Linked DNA regions of Caenorhabditis elegans. The protein of the gene in region 1 interacts with the protein of each later gene in a biochemical or structural test. Each region holds a gene or a part of one and is shown on either strand. Other genes may lie near its edges.

What was found.
Region 2: of the proteins of flp-10 (region 1) and egl-6, one has a biochemical effect on the other in vitro, tested with the Caenorhabditis elegans proteins (2 studies listed by BioGRID, with this or other methods).

Annotation. Positions count from the first base shown.
Region 1 is NC_003282.8:7,866,988-7,870,888, forward strand, and holds flp-10 (FMRF-Like Peptide), read left to right. Parts: upstream 1-1,919; 5' UTR 1,920-1,942; coding exon 1,943-2,015; intron 2,016-2,509; coding exon 2,510-2,640; 3' UTR 2,641-3,094; downstream 3,095-3,901. Other genes in the region: T06C10.3 (Tyrosine-protein kinase), read left to right, coding at 3,878-3,901.
Region 2 is NC_003284.9:5,930,656-5,935,078, forward strand, and holds egl-6 (G-protein coupled receptors family 1 profile domain-containing protein), read left to right. Parts: upstream 1-1,930; 5' UTR 1,931-2,112; coding exon 2,113-2,291; intron 2,292-2,343; coding exon 2,344-2,457; intron 2,458-2,504; coding exon 2,505-2,581; intron 2,582-2,632; coding exon 2,633-2,799; intron 2,800-2,850; coding exon 2,851-3,186; intron 3,187-3,288; coding exon 3,289-3,511; intron 3,512-3,620; coding exon 3,621-3,712; 3' UTR 3,713-3,877; downstream 3,878-4,423.

The DNA.
Region 1 (3,901 bases):
GGAAAAGCATGACAACAACGTTCGAATCGAAAAAACAACTTGAACCGTTGAGAAATGTTCAATTAGTGTTGAGTTCAAGAGCTCGGAGATCGAATTATTCCTATGATTATTTAGTTTCTCCTCTACTGTAGGTTTCAGAGCTGTGCTAAATTTATATGCATATAGAGAAAAATTATTTTTCTTCGTTGGAGAAGAAGGATCTTTTTGTATTGCATAGGATAAATAATCGGAAAAATATGCTAATCATAAGACAAAAACTTTTGGAAAAAAACTAGTGTTGCTTCGCGATTCGGCACCTGGGTGAACATCTCCAAAACGTGGGAAATTTTTTGAAAATTACTCGGCTAATGACTAGTGTTTTATCTCGTCTACTCATCATATACAACTTCTTACAAGTGTCTACTTCTCGAATTAAATTCCGATTTTCCCCGATTCGAAGAGCCGCACAGCTCTGATAAGAATCACGAAATTGAACTCGGAAAATCTCGAGATCAGTTCCGCCATATTCGTTTTGTTTCCTACATTCATTTGTTCTCATTTCAAATGTTTATTTTAGTCTTTCTCGTATTTTTCTTTGCTTATTCTGCGTTCCATCATAATATCTATTTTTCTTTCCATCTTTGATACGGAAATAACACATTAGGCTTGTGTTTGATGTGACCCAGTTATCACATCTCTCCCACCCTTGCCACGTCATCATTCATCCACAGAGCATTCGGGTCGAAGGGGGTGGAGCTTGTAAACGAGCAGGGGAGGATGCTCCGCCCGTCGTGTTCTTCTGCAAAGAATTGAAGTCGAATTTTTTATTTTTCATTCCATTTTTATGAGATGGTAGTTGTTGGTACGTACACCAGTTTTATGATCTTGGCCACTCAATTCGGGGTTTTCAAGTTGTTTTAGTGTTAGAGACCTCTGGAATTCAAGAGTACGTCTTGATTTATTTTACATGTAAAGTGGTGTCAATTGTAATTCCTCCAGGACCACTGTCATGACTTCAAGCTAGCTTGCAATTAGAGGTCAAAAGTATATGATACCGTTTGACAACAGGTGCCAATGAATCCACAAATCAAATACACGCGCGAGCCCCATCCTCAAACGAGACGTGATCACATTTAAGCCCGGATTTGCGGCAATCGAACATTTTTGATAATTGCCGAAATTGCCGAGTGCCGGACTGTTTCGGCAATTTTCAAACCTAACTAAAGTTAGAAAATTTTAAAAAAATCAGCCTTGTTCTTTAATAATAGATTAGTCTTCGTTTGAAATAATATTTTGACGCAAAAATTATCAGACTTATATTTTCGGCAATTCAGATTTCCGGAAATTCGCCAAATCGCCGAAATTGCCAAAAATTCGATTGTCGAATGGAAATAGTCGCGCACCTATGATCCAAGCCCTCAAAACCTGTGCATTACCTAAAAATTCCAGTATCCAAATTATTCATCTTTCAAACGAAATCTGAGATTTATATTCAAAATGGATAACCTCCTCTTCAGATCTCACTTTTACTCTCACCTTTCTCTTTTTCCACTTTTCTTATCCAATTAACGTTTATGACCGATAATAAAGGTCAGTTTGTTTTTGAAATGAGTAGAGAGAAGTGTTCAATTATTCCTTTTCCTTGTTAGACATTACCAGAACAATTCAATTTGCCACGTCATCAAAAGTACGTGATCAAAAAAGACCCGAAGATGATGTGATGAAGAAGGAGTGAAAGATGAAAGAAGACCACCAAGAAGCACGCTGAATTTTTGATATTATTAACATTTCTTCAGAGACTAGAGTACCTACTTTCGTTTCAACATTTTCTCATTTTCTTTCCTCTTTCCTCATTCTCATGACCTTACCATGAATTCACCCATCTCACTAATTATACGCCTAAATCTTTTCTTATTCTCGAATCATGGACACTTTTCTAGGCAATCAACTCATACAGCAAAGGATGCAACTCTCCATCGTTTTCGTCTTTTTTGTTCTCTGCTTGGCCGCTGTTTTTGCTGTTCCTATCAGCGATGGTAAGCTTTTTAACTGTATTTCTAGTATACACTCAGTTTTCGGTAAATGAGTCAAAGTAAAATCATGTAAGAATCTGAAATATTGAAAGTTGCGTTTTTTAACCATGAGAAAAATTTACTGGTTTTTTTGGGCATATGAGAATTTTCACTACGAAATTCGTTCACTTGAAAACATTTTGAGTATGCCTTCATAATATCGTTAGTTCTCCTTTACTAAATAACTTCCAATTTCATCAGATTTTTTTCGAAAAATTTTTAACAAGCTGGCTTAGTCATTATAAAAAACCGAGCTATTTTGGGTAAAATACACAGATTTGTTTGTTACAAGTTTTGCAACTGGCAAACAACTGATTTTGTTGTTTTTAGGCGATCTCACAGAATAATATTCTGTAGTTTGAGTTTTCCCAGCGTCAAAGAGAAACAAAATAAAACCGAAAACTGTCAATCAAAGTGGATTGATCAGAGTAAAAACTATCTTAATAATCCATTTCCAGCTTCCCGTGCTCGTCGTCAAGTCGCATCGGAGAAGCGTCAACCAAAGGCACGCTCTGGATACATTCGATTCGGAAAACGAAGAGTCGATCCAAATGCAGAACTTTTGTATCTCGACCAACTTCTCATTTGAATCCGGCATTCCGACATCTCTTTCATCATCTTCTTCATCATCTTCAACAAAATCCACGTCATCATGCGCCCTTTCTTTCTCTGCGTCTCGTCTAGTCTCTCATTCTCATGTTACAGTAATCCAACAATTATTGAACACTGAACAATTAATTCCTTCTTCTCAACCATCCCCACCAGTCGTCAAGTTTTCGTTTCATCAAATTTCTTGACCTGAAAAATATTCGTTTCATATTTCTAATAACGAAGATTTGATCTCGAAGCGCTTTTAACTAAAATGTCACCAAATAAATTATATTCATTTAATTTTACAATTGCTTCTCTTTTTCGTCTTTTATTTCTCTTGAATTCTTCTCCACCCATCGACCCCCGAACACATCCCAATGCTTTTTTGTTTGATTGTCGCATTCCAGTATTTTCAGTTTCAAAATACACAGCGAATAAAACGATTTGTTGTATTTTTATATTTAATATCATAAAAATTATTATGCTCAAGACTTTGAGTTCTCTATTTCAATAGAACATTTCCGAGTTCGTGAATCAGGGTATTGTGAATATGGATGAAAGAATCTGCTTCTATTATGACTTTGTGTTTATTTCTTCCCAGTTATTACATTATTACGTTATTATTAATCACTAAAATCTACTAATTGACGTTTACAACTTTAGTAGAGATCTGTTAAACATTAAAGCTCCAAGAAAACTACTCAATCAGTACAAGAACGAACTAGTCATAATTTTGGCGACCGCCGAAATTACCAACTGAATTTAATTTAAGACTTTTTTATTAAACTGCATATGAAACCCCAAACTTCGTCCTTTATATAATCAAATAAGAGAGACAAATTTTAAGATTTTTTTGTGTAGATTTGTGATTACTACAGTAATTCTTCAGGGGGTTGTGTGTACTCTAAATAAAAAAGGAGGTGGCAGTCCTGACGATTAAAGTAACATTTTTTATAAGGACATTTTGAGCCAAGTGATAAAAAACATCAGCATTTGGTTTTAAAAATCCAAAAACAAAAAAAAACGTGAACCCGAAATGAGAACGCAAAAAAACAACTTGGAAAAAACAAACATCGAAAATCTATAAAATCAATCGATTTTTGATTATTTCGAATTGTTCTCACAACTTCTTTTCCAATTAAATTTGGAAAATTATTTCTATCACAAAAGGTACGCAAGTTTCAAATTTTCAGGCTTCTTAATTCATTTGATTTTCAGAAGGAAAACATTGCAAAATGGGATCAAACGAGCTGTTTACA
Region 2 (4,423 bases), on another chromosome or scaffold:
GGTTTGTCTTTTGTCTTGAAAATAGCATGAAAGAAAACATTAATTTAATTATTCAGTCAACCTTCCTTCATTTTGTAGGAGAATGACGGTGTACCGGATTCGAAAATTATTTATCTCAAGCTGCGTTCGTGTCTTTTTCAATTTTCTTTTTTTCTTTCTGCAACAATAAATTTGTCAGAATGTACTGCGAAAACCTTATATGACGGTAGACCGTGCCAGGGGAATATAAGTTCCCGAGACTAGACATTAATCATTTCTACGTACTGTTCTTGAATTTTGAACTCATTTAAGGTATGGAACTTTCTATACTCCAGAAATCTTTATATAATGCTCATGATTTAATAATTTATATAACGTCAAAAGGTTTTTCCTGATCTTTTTTCTGTTGCCTTCACCTCCGTTTCCTCACGTTTTCTTGTTCTTCTCCCTGCATAACTTTGAAAACAACACAGGTCTTTTGTTGCAGATGGAGAACATCATAGAACACAATGACAGCTTTTCAGCAATGAATGACACACTGATCTGTACATACTTCGAATGCTATATCCACATGTTTGCCATGGTGAGTTCAAAGCATTAAAATCTCGGGAGGTGGTTTTGATGACGCGTTGGAAATTTGGAAAAATTGCAAATTTGTGATAGAAGCCATAGGATCATTGTTTCAATTTTGATATTTGCCAAAGAACAGTTTAGGAAAAATTAATTGTTATCACTAATCGGAGAGCAAAATGTCTCAAGATATGAGATTAGATGTGTTGAAGCAACATTCTATTTTGAATATTCAAGAACATTGAACGTTTTTAAAGCACTTATAAACACTATTAATAGTAAAGTAACATCAGTGAAGAGGGGGGGGGGTTTGAATTTACAATCATGATAGTCTGACATGAACAAATATCATTGTGAAACACTCCAAACATTCTTAGATTTTTCAAAATATTCAGTAAAAGTTGTGGTGAATTACCAAGTTATCAAAAAGCATGGACGTTTTTTTTAAGCAACCTCAAAAGTTTGAACCCTTGAAATTTCAAATTGTATAATAGGACAAAAGTCACTGTCTAGACAAATTTACATCGAAAATATAATTTTCACTTGGTTTAAACACTTATGTGAAACTATCAAAGTTGGAGTATCATCAGTGGGAATATTATTTAATCACATTCATAATAGTCAAATATAATCGTGCAACACTTCAAAAATGCTCCGATTTTTCAAAAAATTTCAATCAAAGTTTTGGTAAATTGTCAAGTTTTCTAAAAGTTTGGACTGTTTGAGAAATTTCAAGCAACTCCGAATGTAAATTTTGGAAAATTTTGTCAAATTGGACTCGAAAAGTTTGCTATTATGATTTATTGTAGGGTACTCATGGGTTTTGTTACCCTCAAAATGTTTTAATTTTCTAAGTTACAATTAACCACAAAAACGTGAACTTTTTTGGAACGATTTGGAGAAACGAATGCTTTGTTCCGTACTTTTGTTTTTGTTTTTAATTTGAAAGGTGGAAAATTTAATTTTAGAAAATTAAAACATTTTGGGGGAACAAAACCTATCAGGACCTAATGTAGCGGCATATGAACAGTTTCAAACATTTTCCCCATTTTCGGAGTAGTGTCCCATTCCTCAAATGACCTAAATAATTCTGCAATTCTGCACGTGTACTTTGGGTGTTAGTTGCGTACGAGACTCTATTGGGAGCCGATCGTAAACCCGTTTTACGGCCTCACACTGCGAGTTAGTCTTTCAGAGACTCATCTATGTGTTTCTGACTGGGCACCAGTGAATCAGTATGGTGTCATTTGGGGGGACACGCGATGCACACAACTTGAAAAATAATTAGCTGATAGACAGGGGCACGCGCTACACAGTGGGCGGAACTTCCAACACTGATTTCACTAGATTTCCCCTTTCCCTCCCACTCCGTTTTGACTGGAACGAATATTTATTTTGTCGTCCAATTTTTCCTGCTATCTCGTTGTTAGAGATTGTCGCTGGGATAATCCGGTTGTGAATGGACGTTTGAAGCTTTTCCAGCATTTTGAACCGGAATCTTTTTTGCTTTCCCATATTTGCTTCCCTATTCGGGCTCGTTCCGAAACGTGAAAGAGTGAAAAAATGGGGAAATGGACGGAACTCGGATTGTCGGGTCGTGAAAATGCAACAAATGTCTCGTCGCGAGCCATAACTGACAAGTCCTTTTTGCAGTACTACGATGAAATTCATATTCCTCTTTCAATTTCTATCTGTATATTCGGAGCCGCTTCAAACGTCTTCAATATTATTGTGCTCACAAGGTAAGTTATATATTTCTTTATTTTTTACGGATGAATGTACCTGTTATTCCAGAAAACGGATGCGAACCCCAATAAACATCCTGCTCACAGGTCTCTCCATTGCACAATGGCTCCTAGCGACCAATTACTTCCTTTACTTATTGCTTGAGTATTATAGATATCAATGGTACGTCATGCATCAAATAAAAAAAACAATGTTCCAGTTTTTTGCAGTGTTCAATTATTATGGTCCGAAGCATTTACAAGATATAGATTCTTCAATGTCAACCTGAATACAGTATTTCATACAAGTAAGTATTTTTAGATTGGCAAGCATATTACTGTACTCAAATACTTTTCAGTTGCATTCACAACGACGATCGTTGTCGCAGTGTTTCGGTATTGTGCACTGAAGTTTCCAATTCAAGCGAATAGATTCATCTATAAATGCCAGCCAGCAATCGCAGCAAACGTTATCATTTGGATCATCATTCCTATCATCAGTCTTCCATTGTTTTTCATATCCGAGGTTTGTGTAGTTAATCTTCATATCTCGAATCTGATTTCATCTATGTTTCAGGTTAAAATTGTCGCTCGTGACCACGTTGCTTATGATTTGCAATGCGAAATGGAAGGTCCATTGTACGACCTCAGTTATCAAGAGAGTCCACTTCTCGTGTCCGCAGTTTTCTGGGCATTTGGTATTGTGTTCAAACTACTTCCGTCGTTAATTCTCTCAATACTACTCATTGCTCTTATAAGATCTTTGAAAAGCGTAGAACGAAGGCGTAAAAACTGGAAGCGTACACAAGGTGCCAACATTTGCACCAACTCCGAGAGAAAAGCAAAAAGAAAGTTGACGACCAGACCGCGCACAACACGAATGCTCGTCATCATTCTACTCCTATGTGTAATGGTTAGTCACTATTTAATGTCTGATCGTATGTGATTGCTGTATTGTTACGATTATTTATATTATTTTGTCTATGATTACCATGAAACGTATGTCTGATTCCAGGTAGAACTACCCATGGGTATTCTTAACTTGTGCGTGGCTATCTACGGTGAAGAGTTCGGAAATCGGTATTACGATCCAGTGGGAAATCTGATGGAAATGCTGACGCTGTTGTACAGCTCTGTTAGCTTCGTTCTCTATTGCACCATGTCCAATGAGTATCTCTCCACGTTCCGAGCACTATTCTTCCCATGGACCAGAAAGAATAGTTTAAGAGGAACTCGAAGTGAGTACTTTCAAACAAAATTGTAGGATGAATCATCTACTTGAGATAACTACATTTTACTCACAATTTTTTCTGACTAAAAAGTTCAATTCAAAATACAATTTTTCAGGAAGTTGGAATCATCGACATGACGACGAAACAAAGTCCCCACGAACTTTTCTGATAAATAGAACTGCGCCAAGCTCATATGTCGGGTCTTAATCTCCTTTGCGTAGTTATTCAATTCAACTATAATTCTTGATTTTTGTATTTATCCCGTTGTGAACTTCAATTCGTCTGAAAAATTTGAAAGTCACAAGTTTGAAAATGTGATTCTTGTTTATCTTGAAATCTTCCGAGAATGAATAAAACTTGTATTGTTTTACTAATATAGTGTGTTTTCTCTATTTGAACAGCTTTTAAAAGTTGGAAAACTGAAGTTTCAAAGTTAAAAATCAAAGTTATGAAAAAATAAGTGTTCAATGATTTTGTCTAATTGACTTTTTTTAAAGCAATTTTCTTTAGAATTTAAAAGTTTTCTAAAACCTTAAATATAATTTTTCAGCATACTTGTTAATTTTTTTAAATTCTAAATAGAAAAAATAGCATATTTATCTGCTACACTAACAAATTGAATCGCTTCTTAATCTATCAAAACAATAAAAATTGCAGTATTTTGAAGCGTTTGGTTTTTTTTTGTTGCAAAAAGTCTCAAGTGTTCATATCTTGACAGACAGTCTTAGCGGAATTTTTAAACGGAAAGAATAATATTTTCTGAACACCTTCAAAAGTATTCTCCTGTCAGTGAAGTTAATACGTAGACGTATAGCGATAAGAAGTTTTTGGGGTCACTTACGTAGACAATGAGTTACTACATCCCGGAATGCTTTTTTATGGGGTTATTCAAGTAGTGTCGAAAAATTAAAAAGGATA